Arabidopsis thaliana: one gene and its partners. The protein of the gene in region 3 purifies or fractionates together with the protein of the main gene of each other region. This does not show direct contact. Each region holds a gene or a part of one and is shown on either strand. Other genes may lie near its edges.

Region 1 (5,003 bases), on a different chromosome or scaffold from region 3:
GCGACTTCAGAGTTACAATCAGAAACAGATGAAACCTCCTCACGAGCATCAGAAAACCAATCTTCCTCTTCCTCGTTCCCTCGAGTACCCATCTCACAGCTTCTGATCAAAAACACACAGATTTCGTCAGAATTCACAAAGTCAAATATCGGACACAATTGCTGAAAAAGGACAGAAATTTGCAACCATGGTTCGAATAAAACTAATCCACACGTAACACCAAAAGGAAGTAGTAAGATAAACTCATGGCAAATCAATACCATCGGCAAAAAGGAGATTACTTAAGGGTAAAGCAAAGAACCCAACAGAGAAAACGAAGAGTTTATGAGAGATTTACTTACATCTTCACCAAAATCAAACCGGGTTTGAATCAAAATTCTGCTCTTTCTTATAAATAGTCTTTGTCTGGTCAAAATGATTGCATCGAAACGAATGAGTTTAAAACTCTTATCCAAACATTGCGACGATTCGGGTCACGTTTCTTAAAGTCGCAAATCCTTGCGAAGGTTTTTATAAACAAAAGGTTGGGTTTTGAAAGAAAGATATTGGAGAGGGTTTAAGAGCGAGATATTCGGAAATTGAGAGGTTTTGTTTCTTCGATTGTACGAAGAAGAAGAAGAAGAAGAGAGGAAGAGAGAAACAAATAAAACAGAACAAAGATCCTTTCCTTCTTCTTTTGTCTTTTTCTTCTCTCTTGTTTTTTTATTTATTAAAAAACTAATTTTGAAATAGTCAAACATTTGTTTGCACTTACTTAGTCAACATGAATATTCTAATCCCACTTTTATTTCAATAATCATATGTTGATTTGTCTTTCTTTAATGTATTTTTACTTTTCTTCTCTTGATTTGAGATAAACGACATTATACTACATCTTAATTTAAGAAAAATTGATCTTTCCCATTATTTTTTTTTGTTTTTCCACGTTTTGATTTGGTCATTGTTTGTTTTAGTTATTTGCCTATTGATAGATGAACAAATTCTAGTCTTTTTTGTGTGAGTCAATATCGATATATGTTACCCACCTATTCACTAAACAATTAGGAACAAGGTGATAACTCAGGGTACAAATGGACAAATTGTTTTTAAAAATTCCCTATTGTTTTTAATTTGGTTTAATGTCATCTAATTATTCATTTACACACTAACAGTAAATTTGAATATAAAAAAAAAATATTGTTTTCAGGTGGTGGGAACACGATTTTGTCAATTTCCCTTTTGAGCTCAATACATTACCTCACGTGTGCTAAAATGTCTTTACCCTTGTCACTAACGTAATTCACCAACAACAACAAAATCATCGGATTTAGTTATAAAGATGATATATATATATATATCAAAAACGGTATATATAAATAAATCTTCCCCAACTATTCATTCAAACCCTAGATTGCTCGCTAAACAACTTTCTGTTGTAACCAGTTTTGGGATTATACAAATAAGAAACTAAGAGAACCACAAAAGAGATCAAATATGAATTGATTAGAAGCCCCAAACAAAGAGTAGAAAGGTTTGAATATGCGATGATGGGATGTGACCAAATAACACATTTTCTCCGGTTAAGGGATTCAATGTCTGTATAGTACAGACATGTTGAATGATGATGATGGCATTTGTTGTTGGATTCCACATTCCAAATACTCTGATTCGCATTATACACAGACCTTTTTCTTTGTTTTCTCAAGTTTTTTCATTGGTCTCCATTGATTCCAAATATGCGGACCTTGTGCATGTGCGGGAATTTCGCAACCACCATGACAAATACAGCCAGTGTGTTGAGAAAGAGCATCGGGTGCTGATAGTCTGTTGTGTGAGAGGCTATCAAGTACCTACATACAAAGTTTGGTCAGACTTTTATGTCACAAAGATCCAATCATTGATTACATATTCGTCACACACAACACAATTGAGGTATTCCACTACACATAATCTAGTAGTGCTTCTTTTAAGAGAGATTCAGCAAACTCATAACAGACCTTATGTCTTGTACGAATGTCTAAATCTAAATCTAAATCCAAGGCTCTTGAGCACTAGCTAAAAGACCTTAATAATCAAGCGAGTTTAATCATAGTAGGAAACTTAGGTCCAACCCTAATCAGTGAACAGATTTGAAGCACTAGTCAACAAACAGAAATCAAAATGAGAAGAACGGTAGTGTCTTGACTCTTGTGTATCTGATTGTCATGTCAAAATGTATTCTGTGTAGTAATAATTGCAAATCAAATTGTCAAAACAACCACTTCACCTAGGAATAGAATTGTAATTAAGCTCATTGACTAGCATCTCTATATAACCAGATGTAAAATGAGCTACAATAAGATAAAGAACAAGTAGGTAGGGAAACGAAGATCAATGTATCTCTAAAACATAACTTAAGCAAAAATTACACCAAATACAGAAACAATCATAGAAAATAAGGTAAGGCATTCAATTTTTCGATACTGAACAAGATCAACAAGAGATGATGATGCAAAACAAAATCCTAATGAGATATGAGAGAAGGAACTTACAAGACAACAGGAACAACGGTGAGAAATTTGCGATTACGTGTAAGCTGCTTGCCATTATCAATCTGTTCCCACCAAGTCAATCTATTATAGACTCCTTGATCATCTCCAAATGGTGTTCCCTTCTTCCAATGGAAGGAATGATACGTGACCTAGAAAACAAAAAAACTCAAAAATTCAAATCTAGAAACCAACAATTTCGAAATTGGATCGGAGGAGATCGGGAATAATACGGTGAAATGAGCGAGATGAACAATGGTCCAAGCGATGCCAGGAGAACAATGGAAGACGGAGAGAACGAGGAGCCAAGAGAAGAAGAGGATGAGAATATAAGTAGTCCAAACACCAGGATATGTGAACCACTCTGTGTTCCGATTCACATCCGTCGTCGGAAGTGCTCTTACGTACATCGTCTTTTTCACCGGAGGGATTTGGAAGAAGATCGGAGATGATGATTGATGAATCGTCGTTGAGCAAGTTTTCTTTCTTCTTTGTTTTTTTTTTCTCTGCTGCGTTCTTTGGGCTCTTTCTGGGCTTTTTATTTTCTACAATTTTTTTAAAAAGAAGCATTAAATTAAAATAGGAAGGTGGTTGGGTGGCTCACCGATCTTAGCCTAAAACAATGATTATCAGTAACTCTGTCTCAAGACTCTCAACGCGTCACTCGATAAACCACGACGACTCATATTTTTAATTTATTGGACTTTTCTTGTCAGCTTACATAGAGGCCCATTACAAAACACACCGGTTTTCCGACCCGACCCGTACCTTTTCATCCGATAATTTAATTTACATTTTCAAAATATGTTCTGAAGTTAATTCTTGACCATATTAGTAAGAGTTATTTCATTTTATTTTTGAACAAATTTTAGCTGCCAAATTTCGAAATCCTTTTTTTTTTGCTACCAAATTTTCCATCCAGTGCTTCCGTGAAAAATATTTCGAATAAAATACCATTTTAAAAAACATCTTCGAATAAATATCTAAAATTATCAGTTTTTTGTTCTTCTCATATTTTCAACTTGATGAGGATTAGATTTAGATTCACCTAATGATTACAATAAACACGATTAAGCCTCGTTGGTTTTTTAAGACAAACTTACAATTTTTTTGTTTTTTCTTTTCTTCATCACACACTCTGTCTCACCAACTTATTCAATAAAAGCAATTGGACTTTTAACACAAAATATATTATTCAACGACAAAATGATTTCGTATTAATGCTATACTATCCAAGGTTCATTAAATTTGAACTAGCTATATCTTTTTATTAAACTTATAGAATTTAGATTCCACAATTTCTTGATTTCCATGCACAGAAAAAAAACTTTAAATAGATTACTATTCCCTCTAATTAAAATATAAGATGTTATAAAAGTTTATCTTTTAAATATTAAAAAATATTTTGTTAGTTTCTATGAAAATTAAATGTATTTGATAATTTGTGATCATTTATATTCTGCAGTTTTTTCTTATGATTAGTTAAAATTTTTAATTCTATAAATAATATTTTTTAGAAAGAATGATCTTAATATGTGTGATTGTTTTAAACATTTTATATTTTGAAACAAAGGAAATAACATCGTATTTCTGAGGATTTACATAATGTTTTTTTTTTGGTGCACCTAGCATAATGTTTTATTAGTAGAAATTATTCATAACCTGAAACATGTAATTGCATAAATGGCCTAAAGTCAGCTGAAATAAAATGAAAACAGAGGATACATAATTAGTAGAATAATCTCAAATATAAGAGAAAGTGCGTTAGTTGATAAAGACAGATAATTTGACTTTCCGATTTATTTGGCCGCCAACCTTTTTTTGTTTTGTTCTTCCTAAATTCCCTTTCTCCGAAATTCCTTTCATTGATTTCATCATCATCATCATCCTTCGTTTTTTCTCTATCGATCTAGCAGATTCTTTCGGGGACCAAAATCAAAATCATGGTGGATCATCAATGGAAGGATTTAATCGGATAAAAGAGAAGAGACGGAATCACGACGGGAGAAGAGATCGGGAAATCGGAAAATCGGAGATGATGGGGATTTCTTTCGCCGCCAAACTCCGTTTCCGATCTCGATTTCGAACTTCTTCAATCGATTCTTATTGCTTCGCTCGTGAGGCTTTCTCCGATTGTATCTCCTCCGTCCATTTCTTCTTCTTATAACCTTTTTCTTTGTAATAACCTCCGTCCTCTTCAGCTTTCTTTCTTTTCATCTTCAATCTCACCTTAAATTCTCCACTTTTTTCTTCTTCTCCTTCTGTTCTCGATTGCTTTGTTTGTTGTGTTGTGCATACATATATGGCTTCTGGTTCTGGATTTTTAGGTCAGATATCGTCCATGGAAGAGGCTGATTTTGCCGAGAAAGATCCTTCTGGCCGTTACATCAGGGTACGTCACTGTCTTCGTTGATTCATGTGTGAATTTGCATTCAATCTCGTTTGGTTGAGTGTTTTTTATTGTTGAATTATGAGGAAATTGATCAGAATTTGAGA
Region 2 (4,587 bases), on a different chromosome or scaffold from region 3:
GAAGATTGGTTTCTCTACCGAGTGTTTTATACTTTGATACTTCATCTAAAGCTCTAGGCTTTTCTTATTTTCCTTGTTTGGATTGTTTGTTTTCGCTCTAGGGTACGCCAAAGAGGACGCTCTCTGAAAAAAGAAGAAGGTAATCTTCGATTCAATGCAGAGAGTTTTATCAGACGCATGAAATTAGGGTTTTAGTGCCACAATTGGGTATGTTATACAGATGAAAATTGGAAAAGGTCTGGACTTTTCTGAAATTCATAACGTTTGAGTCGTTTAGGGAACTGTTATCTAGGCTGTCTAATTCCAGATCTAGTTCCTTACACATTGATTCCAGGAAGTATTGAGCCTCTATGTTTTGATTCTAGAGGCTTCTGGGTCTAATTCACAGATGTAGCAACGTTCCTGTATTATGTCTTTGTACTGTTGATATTTGCGAGACCCTCTTCTCTGTGTGGTTTGGTTTTGTTCAAAAAGAAAACATTCAAGTCTTCTTCTTGATATAATGGTTAAAACTGGTGCTTACTAGTATCGTTTTTCTTTCCCTTTGATTCATGATTCTTTTAATTACAGTGGTTCGTAACATAATCTGAACCCGAGGACACACACACGATGATGCATTCGACGGTGCAGCATGGGGGAAACAAGAGTGGCAAGTCAAATGTATGGGCTAATACTAACTTGGCAAAGACAGTGGCAGCTGTAGATGAGTTCAAATTTGGATTCCCATCAGGCGGGTTAACAACTGTGTCAAACAAATGGTGGGGAAGGGCAGAGAAAGGCGGACGAGAAGATGGTGGAGGAGAGAACACTGAAAATGGACATGTAGCAGCTTGTGATGAGACGCAAAATTCTTTGGTAGCTATTAGGAAAAGAATAGCGGAAGAAGGAAGAGAAGCGGTTGAACTTGGTCTGCATCAAGGATTTGGTTCAAAAAGACCAGGCAAGAGAGATCAAGCTTTGCTGTTTCAGATCTTCAACTCTGCAATGCCAAAGGATTGGGTTACCCCTGATTCTTCCTAAGTTCGTTTGTAGATTTAGAACAGAGCTCCCTCTTAAAAATTATGCTCTGTTATATGTAATCCGCAAGTTCATTAACTCCTGCAACTATGTTATTATGTCTCTAAGTGAACTGGAAATACAACAGGAAGACTTGCGATCTTACGAGTCTACAAAATCATTTCTGTTAATTGCAAAAACATGGGAACAAATAATATAGAGACATAAGAACTGTCCTAGAGCCTTTGGAGGAAAATTAACAAAAACAGAGGTGACGCCGAAAGAGGGATTTTTGCTGGTATACGTCTCAGAAATTGGAACCAAACGTACATGCCTTTGGATGATCTAGGCTTTTCGTGCTCTACTGTGCGAGAAACAAGACATGTTTTCATGTCAAATGCCTGCAATGCGAGGATACAAGAAATTATCATGAAAGAGCTTCAATTGCTTCTCAAAAGTTTCGAACAATCAGCATAATAAGATTCAGATAGCAAGCAGCAGCAGTAAGTCCATCAGGCAAACTAAAGACTTCTCTAACTCCAATCCAATCACCTTCTGGGGAGGCTTAATATCTACCCTAACTAAATGCACAAGAGAAGGTAGGATAATGTTTAAGTAAATGATGGACTTATCCTTTTGTGAAAACATATACTACGAATCATGGGAAACCGTGAAACTTGTTTCAGAGATGAAGATGAGGCCAAACAGCATATTGTATCATAACACTCATCACTTAGAAACCCGCTAATGAAACCATAAGACCAAAGTAGCAAAAAGAACTAGATAAGTACCAAAAATTGTTACAACAATAGCAAAATTAGTGTCAAGGAAACCTTAACAAGCTTAAGGTGTGCGCAAAGAGCATCATCAAGTGTTTTACCTCTGGAAAAGCTCCGAAAAGTAGCGAGTACCGTTGTATAAAACGAACCACATCAAAACAACCACCAAAGAATCTGAAAAGAGTTGAGGAAAGGCAAAGAAGATGCAAGCAAAGATCTTAAGTCCTTGTAAACTAGCAAAAAATTATCTCAATTGACAGTATATTATTCAGTAGAGACTATAATCCAAACTCTGAAGTTGAAGACAAAATTTTAAGAAAGTAGCTTTTTAAAAACAAAATTCTAAAATTGAACAGACACAATGCTTAAGACGACAACACAAGAGAACAGAACACAATGCCACCATATATCACCAAAGATGTAAAAATCAAAACTTGCATCTTTCTAATGAAAGGGTAAATCGAAATTGGAGCACAGATAAACCAAAATCGATGGAGAGAACGAATGAAGCATGGAGGGATAGAGTGAGGAAAAAAGGATACTGAAGAGGTATCGTTCCCACCAATCAAGCATGTAGAGCCCGAATGTGACATTATAAAGGTAGATTTTGCGTTGAACCCAGTTCATATCTTCTGATCGATTCCTACAGTAAGAAGCGGGAGATTACAAATCTGAAATTGACAAAAACCTGATCCAAGATTCAAAATTTACCCGGTAAATCTCTGACAGAGAACTTGACAAAGATATACTAAACAGGATTACAAAGCGCCTGGAGATTCTCGATCTAGGGAACTGTATCTGACTCCAGATTTTGATTGAAGTGTCGTCGTCAAATACAGAAGAGAAATCAAATTTTGACGGAGACGTCAAAGTTGGAAAACTCTGTCACGGTAAATACTAATCTCATCCTCAATTCATTTTCCCACCCCGGTTTAGTCTTAATTACCGGTTTAGATGAACCAGGTATTCAAAATCGGTTTGTAGAACTAACCGGATAACGGAGACTGCAATGTCACAGAACGTGTGCGCTTTGTAAGAAGACCAAACATGGTGACGACGACCATCGGCGGAGTTCCGGTGGTGATTGCTCAGTCTCGGAGGATTCCAACGAGCCTGAGATGCTTCTCTGCCACCGCAAATTCTGACCTTCTTCGCTCCCAGCTTGATCGGCTTCACGCGGAGGCAGAGTCCACTCGTGCCAAAGGTGGAATCTTTATTCGCTAATCTTCGTTTTAATGTGTGATTTCAAAGTCGTAGACTTTGGAAAGATGAGGTGCTGGTTTCAGCATGGTTTTACTGCTTGTGAATCCAGTGATTGATGATGTCAATTTGATTTATTTTTGGTCTTTGTTGTTGTTGGTCCAGCAAACAGTAATAGGTTGAGACTTTTGAGATTATCTGAGGCTGCAGAGAATCTACGGGAACAAGCAGCTGTCAATGTTCGAACAGGGAAAGAGAATGATGCCAGAGATCTACTTCTTCAGAAGAAAAAAGTTATGCAAGCTTTGGACAAGGCTAAAGCTCGTATCGAGTTGCTCGATACGCTTTCTTCCAAACTTAACGAGGTACAAACAAACAATACTCTTACTTGTTAAGAAATGTTATTGTTTTGGTTGTTTGTTTGTTTTCAATTGCCCCAGAAATCTATCTAACTATGTCTTGAAAGCTTGGTTTGGTTTCAGGCAATATCTGTCAAGGAAACACAGCTGATAGGCAATATATCTTTGGATCTCGAAGAGGATGGAGAGAATACTTCAGGTGGTATCCACATTGTATCGCCAAAGCCCGAATCTACTGAAGACGGGGTCGAAAATGACCACACTCACTTGGATTCTGAGGGAATTCAACTTATTGAAAGGAATGTTGAGGATTACCAAGAACTTCTTGATACCAATAATAATGTACTAGAAGATGTTTCAATAGGTAGCATCCTGAAAGAAGTGTCTTCTTATGAATCTTTCTTGGAAAATTTAGACCAGAAACTTAGCAGAATCGAAGCTGAACTAGTTACTGTTGTAAATGTTGCATCCTTGGTGCTTAATCATGAAGATAAACCCAAGAATCTTAAGGTTCAGCAGACTGCAGAAATTCTTGAAGAGATTCGTCGTGTGAGGGAAAGGTAATGCATTCAAAGCATCACTAAGTTTTACTTCTAACACTGCAGAATTACTCAGTCCATTAAGTTTTGTTTTGCTTGTGTAGAATCGCAAATATCATTTGCAAAGAGGCAAACATCAGTTAGTGTGCTTCAAGCATTACTTACCAGCGCAGTGAACTAAAGAAAGGAAGCCACTCTTGGTATGAAAAGTTAATCTAGCAATTTTCCTTTCTTTAATCATTCTGTTTAGACAGGTATAGTCATTTTCTTGGTGTGAATATTAATATCTTCTAAGGTGATACATTAAATTTTGATGTGATATGAAGTTAATATGGTCGTTCACGTTAATGTTGTTGTGATATGGGATCATGATTATTAATGTGATATCAATACTTAGGAGCATCATTAAGTAAATAATAAGTGAATAACATACTATTAGATTAGATGTATACAATTAATATTGATTTCAACTAACTCTGAAATCATTTCATTTGTTCTAGGAATAAAATTAATGGCACTAAAGCGACAGGTTGAGATTATGGACTATACAAATCCAGAAACAAAATCATATAAAGCAAACATTTTCAATACATATCAATGGTCCCGAGTGATAAGAAATAGAAATGATGCCAATGAATCAACCATATAGAATTAAACATCTAAGTCCTGAAATAACAATAATATTTAGCTTTTCAAACAAACAAAAAAACTAAT
Region 3 (6,700 bases):
TTTTTTACATACCACTCCTTGGACATCAAGAATAGTTGTGCTCTGATCAATGTGCTTCTTCGCGGCGATAGAGCACGCTGGGAACTTAACATTGAAGGTCCTCTCAAACTCCATAACATGGTAGTTGACATACCTATCCATGGTTGTGACTTGCATCAACTTGGTAGAATCTACTAAACCAAGCCTCTCAATGTACACAGGTCGTCCTTCCTTGTCAACTCCATGGTGTCCTTGAGGGTAGTATTTCAACACTTCATCAATTTCCTTGAAATCAAACTCCTTAAAAATATACAAAACCAAAGAAGAGAATGTTAGTACTACTCAAAGAGACCATTTTCAAATCTGCAAAACGTTCCTCTAGAATAATAATCATACCTCCATGACAGTATCAGCACCAAATTCTTTCCTCCATCTAAGCATTTCAGTCCACATCTGTTTGGTTTTCTCAAGATCAAATTTTCTAGCCTTCAAAAATCTAAGCATCATATGGTAGTCATCGTGTTTCTCCGGGAGTAGCTCATCGAGAATAAGCGATTGGCGAAAAGCATCAACGGCTTTCAACTCCTCTGCGTCATGCACATCTTCGATGATCTCCACAGACATCACTTTGCTACTTCTTCTTCTCTTTGTCATTGAATACCTCAAATTCTTAGAAGAGCTCCTCTTCTTAAAAGAACCCATCCTTGGTTTCAACTCGGCATCTAAACACAAAACAACATCAAGAACAAGAAGATAACAAAACAGAGAACTAAAAAATCTCTTCATTTTTGTTTACTATACCTTGGATCAAAGTCATGATTTTGCCAGATAGTTGGAATTAGGCAGGTAAGGGCACGAGGGACGAGCACTCTAACGAGTGTCTTATTATTTTTAGCCAATGCCCTTTGCCAAATTCCTGTAAGAAATTCACATTCCCTAATTACAAATCAAATTCGAACAACGATAACGATGAACATGAAGTTAAGAAAACAGAACAAAACAGAGAGACAATTAAAAGATAAATTACCTCTGCAAAGAGGAAATGAGAGGAAGGAGAAAGATAAAAGGAGAGTGAGATTGCTCCGAAAATCTCTCAAAATCGTTCCATTGGATTCTCAACTCCATTAACGTCGAGGTAAAGCTCCACCTCATATTCTCTCTTTCCCCAACCATTGATTCTTCTTCTTTTTTTGGTCACTGTTTTGTTTTTGTTTTTCGTTATGCAGTTCTAATTATACAAACTTAGAAACAGAGGAAGAGAGATTACCTGTCCCTCGCTCTTTCGTTCACATTATACCGCCCACGAGTGTTATACTGACACGTGTCAATTATGCACGAGTGTTATACTGACACGTGTCAATACTATTGAGATTTGAGAGAGGCAAAAACACTTTCTTTTACCGCAAGAAACTCAGAAAGCCTTAAGAGGCTGATGTCAGCACATGAACTTTTTTGTTTCCCATAAATTGAAAGTTTTTGAATTTCGGCAACAACACTAAGCTACTTGATCATTGAAGGGTATGAGTAGGAAAAAAAAAAAAAGAACTCAGATGATCAAATGAAATAAATGTAAGAACAAGAAGCCATTGTCTTCGATAATCCTCCTTCGTCAATTGAGCTTCAGATCAACCACAAGCCCATCACTGAAAGTGGAGAACCAGTTTAGGAATCTGCTATGAACATCTTCAAGCTACTGACTCTGCGGATTCTGTTGTCTACTATCTCACACGGATGTGTTCAAAGAGTTCCCTTCAGTGTTGTTGTTCTTGAAGAAAAAAGAGTTTCGGTGTTTCAGGACTTGAGTAGAAGCTCTGAAGCAAGTCTCTTCAGTGACTCCGACGCTTTAAGAAGATCGGATTCCGAATGTCCCGCTGAGACGTAGAGTTTGATTCCCACAGGTAACCGGCATTTATCAAGAAATGATCTTTTAGAACTCACAACCAACAATGAGTCTTCCTTCAGAGCCTGCATGCATCTAGTCATGTCAAGAAACGGGGACAGGGTCTAGATTTGGTTTTGCAAAGAAACAATGAACTTACACGGTCAGCCATTTTCTCAAGTAGAAGCAAATCATCTTTAGCTGAACCGCTAGATTTCTCTAATTTTAAGAAAACAATAGGTGATTCCCGGTTGCTTGTTAATGACATCCCCTTGATATCTGACAATCCTGCGTTGTTCCCAGCATTTCTTTTTCAATTAGAGGAAGATAACAAACTAAATCAAACTCTAATTGTTGCTAGATTAGATTAAAACTTGAAGATCAAACCTTTCCATAACAGAGCAACATTTTGCTTCAGCTTAACTAACATATCAGGGTTTTGATCAATGACATCAATGGCGGTGATAGCAGCACTTGCAAGGTATGGTGGTAAAGAAGCAGAGAACACATATCCTGAACTGCTAAGTCTCTGTGCATTTGAGCGTCCCAGAGAAAAGTTTCTATTATCGGTAGTTTTTTAATTTTGTTTGTAATTAGTTAATCAGCATGATCGATGTTTACCTGGTAATCGATGATGCGGGCATTCCCAGTGCAAAATCCACCTTCTGTGGCTAATGCATGGCCCATTGCAGCAGTCACAACATCTATCTTCTCAATCTGTTTAAAGATAAACCGCCGTGAAATTTTTAGCATCAGGTTTGGCAAATGAGAACACTACTAAAATGTGTGTCAATCATACTTACAGGGACACTATGATGCTCTGCAAGACCTCTCCCAGAACGGCCAAGCACACCAAAAGAGTTGCTTTCATCCAATATAACACGAAACCGATACTTCTCTTTTAGTTTTACAATCTCATCCAGAGGCGCAATTTGACCTGAATTCTGTAGATTTTAACATACCCAAAGGCAAATGGGTAAGCATCACAGTTCAGGGAGAATTTTCAAAATATGGAAGCAGGAGAAGAAAGAAAACTGCCAGGTACTTGATATACAGCTTCAGCTACAATATAACGCCTCAAGTTCTTTGAGCGCTTGTACTTTGTCATGATTTTCTCAAGGGTAATTCGAAGGGATTCCATGTCATTGTGCTTGAAGTACACAATTGTACTTCTTGAAAGCTGAAGTCCATTTTGTATTCCCCAGTGAACACCCTCATCACTAAGAAAATAGAAAAGACAAGAATGAGTTTAATATCGAGATAAAAAAGTTTCAAACAAAGATGTTCAATGTAATCCTGGGATTTCTACTAACGTAATCTAATAAGTAGAACGATGTTATAAGAAATTGTGTACTTACGCAACAATGACATCGCCTTTCTTACAGAAACAAGGAATTGTGCTGAACATTGTGGAAAGTCCATAAGAGTAAAGGATTGAATCAGGAGTACCCAAAAATTTGGATATTCTGGTTTCGCAGTCAAGGTGGACATCTAGTCAAGAGAAGTAATCAAACAGTAAGAACCCTTTCCAAGCGAGCCAATGGATGAACCAAAGTATCTATTTAGAAAATTATTGTCTTCTTACCAATTGTACCATAGAATCCACGAGGCCCACAAGAACCGACCCCATATTTTTCTAATGCAGAAGTACATGATTCCTGGCATAAGACAAATCTTAAATAAAACTATTCAAACAGAAGAGAGATTGTATTGAAAACAAAGTAGCTTCACGTTACCAGCAACTTCTCGTGGCCAATGAGCCCAAGATAATTAGCTGAGGCAAAATTCACCACATCTTTTCCATTAACTGTTGTATGCGGTCCAGCAGCACTGTATGGACCCAACAAAATCTTTAAGCATAACACAGAATAAGGCTATACAACGAACTACATAGAAGTCTTCTACGTTACCTTTCAAGAACTGGTGGCTCATGCTTCATGTCTTCAGTAATTGGCGGTATAAGAGGTTCAGGAACCCACTCATCACACAACTCATCTATTTCCTGAGTAATAAAAAACCCCGAAAACTCAATACATTTCAACTATACCACACATCAAAGATGTCACCACGAACCAAATCCTATGTGATCTATCAAACCAATATCAAGAAAGGATCTGAGACAGAACCTGCTCGGTCAATGGTCGCTTGGGAGGTTTATAACTCTTCCGAGTGAGGAGAATGATAATGACAACACCCAACAACCCTTCCACAAAGAAGTGCCCTGGAAAACGAAAACAAAAACAAAAAAGTTGAAATCTTTAGTAATCTCAAATAACCAACAAACTTGGATAGACAGACAAAGTTCACTTAAAGTTGTTTCTTCAAATCTATACCTCGGATTGGGACACCAAACAAGACAACTCTAGCTGAAGGACTCTCCAGAATCATAGTAACCCAATTCAAAGCAGCATTAAACATTTCCACGAGATTCGAAGCCATTGCTAATTTGCTTTAATAAAGCTCTGTACTTTTTTCTTCTATAGTATTAATTTGCTCGACGAATCGAGCATAAGAGAAGCTAGCTCAACTTTGGGAAAACCTACAAAACCCAATCTTCAATTAGTATTACAAATTTTCAAAATTCACAACAAAAAGTGGCAATTTTGAATCCAAATTCGACCCAAAAAAAAACTATCAGGAAAGATCTGGCATCGGATCACTGAGCAACGAGAAATCGAAATCTCGGAGAACAGATTAAGAAAGTATATATGATTACAAATAGATCCGACAAATAAACGAGGAACGTTACCTGATCCCAATTGGATTTTGGGTGGCAAAATGGACAAGGAGCAGAAGGTATCGTGCCCACAAGAGTGTCAAACACACGAGGAGTGTTGTTCAAATTCGGCGATGCAAAAAGATTGACTTTCAACGTTTTTTCGAGATTTTTGATAACGCAGACGGCAAAAAAAAAAAATCAATTTCAGAGAGAAAAAAAAAAAAGTAAAAGAAGAAGACGAGCGGATCTGTCTATGTTCGTAATACGTCAGTAGAATCCTGGGCCCAGATCTGTGTGTTGGTTCATCGATACGACGCCGTTTAAGTGTTAGATATGGGCCTAGAGGCCCAATGTTTCAACAGCACACACTGTGACACAGTCACTAGTAAGCATTCATCACCACCACTAAAGTCTTAAAGGACAATGCAAAGAGAGAAAGAAAGAGTACTAAAGCCTAAAGGTAAGGAAGAGACAGAAAGAGGAAAATGGTGGTCACACACACCAATCATCACCACTCATTCTTGTTTAGCTTTTTTCTAACCTTCTTGTAATCATATTCGACCCCAAAGTTCCCCCTACTTTTTCTGTAATATTTTGTAGCATTTACATTACACTATACATATATTATTCCTATTCTGTTCAACCATAGTATCATATCATATTCATATTTACATCTCACGAATTAGTTGCTTAGATACGACGTCATTTTAATGGAACGGTCTTAGGTTTTAAATATGGGCTTTGTTAGAGGCCCAATGACTAACTTTTAAGTGATTAACTTTTCACCACACTTGAAAAAACAAAACGTAAGCAACAAGAGAGAGACGATCATGGTTGAAGAAGAGATTATATGAAGAAAAAAGATTGATACGTTACGGTTTTGCATTAATCCCTCAAGCGACACGCGTGCGTCCCCCTCGGCCCTCTCTCTAACCACAAAAACCTTATCATACCAAGTACCAACACACAGTCTCTCTCACCTAACAGAGCATTTACACTACCCTTATGACGCAACAAGCATTCATGACCACCACTAAAATCTTGAAGGCAAGGCAGAGAGAGAAAGAAGATTACTAAAAAAGCCTTACGGTAAGGAGAAAGAGAGAAAAAGAGAAGGAAATGGTGGTCACACACACACACACACCAATCATCATCACTCATTCTTGTATAGCTTTTTCTACCTTCAAAAGTCAATCAGTCTTCTTCCTCCTATCTCCCAAAGTTTCCTATACTTTTTTGTATGTTTTGAAACATTTACATTACAATTAAAAATATCATCCATATTCTATTCCACGATTTTTCATATAAATCACCAAATAGATTCTAGCAAGGGTAATTTTTCTAATGAAATTTAGTTTATGTTTAAACGAATAAAAGTCCTTAAACAAGAAATGGCAATAGAGTCCACCACGCAAAGCAAGAACAGAGTCTAGCACTGATAGCAAGAACAGAGTAAAGAAAGTACAAACATTACATGAAGCCATCATGATGTTGTTTGACTAATTTATCCTTTATATTTACATGAAACATTATCCTCTACTTTGTTTATTCCTATTTTTGGTCACTTTGGACTACACCTGCCATTTCTCCTTAAACTAAATTCATCCAACCAAAGAAAAATTTATTTTCGTTGAATCATGACCAATGATGAACGAATCCCACATCGTATTTTCAAGAAAGAAAATAGATGGAAAAGTAAACACACAAAAAAAAAGGTAGGGTAATGGAAGAATGAAGTGACAGGCCAAAGATTTCTCCTTTAAGAAAAGCAAATTCTAACACCAAAAGAACAAACCCTAACCCAAAATTATACTAAATTTCTTCACTTTTATTGTTATTGTGATGGATAAGAAGGATATGGAGAGAGAGTTTTACATGACAGGAGGAGATGGAAAAACTAGTTATGCCAGAAACTCTTCCCTCCAGGTAGGTTCTTGAGATTTCCCACATATCTTCACTTAGTTCATAATTTTGACTCTCTATAACCACTTTTCCTGTTTTAATCTTGTAGAAGAAAGCATCTGATACGGCAAAGCACATAACACTAGAGACACTTCAACAACTCTACAAAGAGACAAGACCAAAGAGTTTAGGAATAGCTGATCTAGGATGTTCTTCAGGAC

The links.
Region 1: the proteins of LCB1 (region 3) and AT5G42000 purify together in Arabidopsis thaliana (affinity purification with western blotting, with the first as the bait; one study listed by BioGRID). This does not show direct contact.
Region 2: the proteins of LCB1 (region 3) and AT1G06515 purify together in Arabidopsis thaliana (affinity purification with western blotting, with the first as the bait; one study listed by BioGRID). This does not show direct contact.

What each region holds. Positions count from the first base shown.
Region 1 is NC_003076.8:16,797,369-16,802,371, reverse strand, and holds AT5G42000 (ORMDL family protein), read right to left. Parts: upstream 3,155-5,003; 5' UTR 2,918-3,154; coding exon 2,741-2,917; intron 2,660-2,740; coding exon 2,511-2,659; coding exon of another isoform or gene 2,507-2,510; exon of another isoform or gene 1,830-2,506; coding exon 1,691-1,829; 3' UTR 1,270-1,690; downstream 1-1,269. Other genes in the region: AT5G42010 (Transducin/WD40 repeat-like superfamily protein), read right to left, coding at 1-92; WNK8 (with no lysine (K) kinase 8), read left to right, coding at 4,810-4,899.
Region 2 is NC_003070.9:1,989,567-1,994,153, forward strand, and holds AT1G06515 (transmembrane protein, putative (DUF3317)), read right to left. Parts: upstream 2,663-4,587; 5' UTR 2,487-2,662; intron 2,419-2,486; 5' UTR 2,403-2,418; coding exon 2,318-2,402; exon of another isoform or gene 2,021-2,317; intron 1,950-2,020; coding exon 1,877-1,949; intron 1,398-1,876; coding exon 1,385-1,397; 3' UTR 1,068-1,384; downstream 1-1,067. Other genes in the region: AT1G06500 (uncharacterized protein), read left to right, coding at 610-1,020; AT1G06510 (forkhead-associated domain protein), read left to right, coding at 2,823-2,979, 3,141-3,340, 3,458-3,894, 3,978-4,017.
Region 3 is NC_003075.7:17,216,195-17,222,894, reverse strand, and holds LCB1 (long-chain base1), read right to left. Parts: upstream 4,987-6,700; 5' UTR 4,608-4,986; intron 4,588-4,607; exon of another isoform or gene 4,479-4,587; intron 4,398-4,478; 5' UTR 4,298-4,397; coding exon 4,192-4,297; intron 4,080-4,191; coding exon 3,985-4,079; intron 3,861-3,984; coding exon 3,769-3,860; intron 3,689-3,768; coding exon 3,595-3,688; intron 3,517-3,594; coding exon 3,444-3,516; intron 3,350-3,443; coding exon 3,217-3,349; intron 3,079-3,216; coding exon 2,904-3,078; intron 2,803-2,903; coding exon 2,662-2,802; intron 2,576-2,661; coding exon 2,480-2,575; coding exon of another isoform or gene 2,456-2,479; exon of another isoform or gene 2,388-2,455; coding exon 2,246-2,387; intron 2,147-2,245; coding exon 2,019-2,146; intron 1,945-2,018; coding exon 1,771-1,944; 3' UTR 1,270-1,770; downstream 1-1,269. Other genes in the region: SFH12 (SEC14-like 12), read right to left, coding at 13-279, 376-701, 781-796; AT4G36470 (S-adenosyl-L-methionine-dependent methyltransferases superfamily protein), read left to right, coding at 6,420-6,503, 6,589-6,700. UniProt on the Arabidopsis thaliana protein: Component of serine palmitoyltransferase (SPT), which catalyzes the committed step in the synthesis of sphingolipids, the condensation of serine with palmitoyl CoA to form the long chain base 3-ketosphinganine.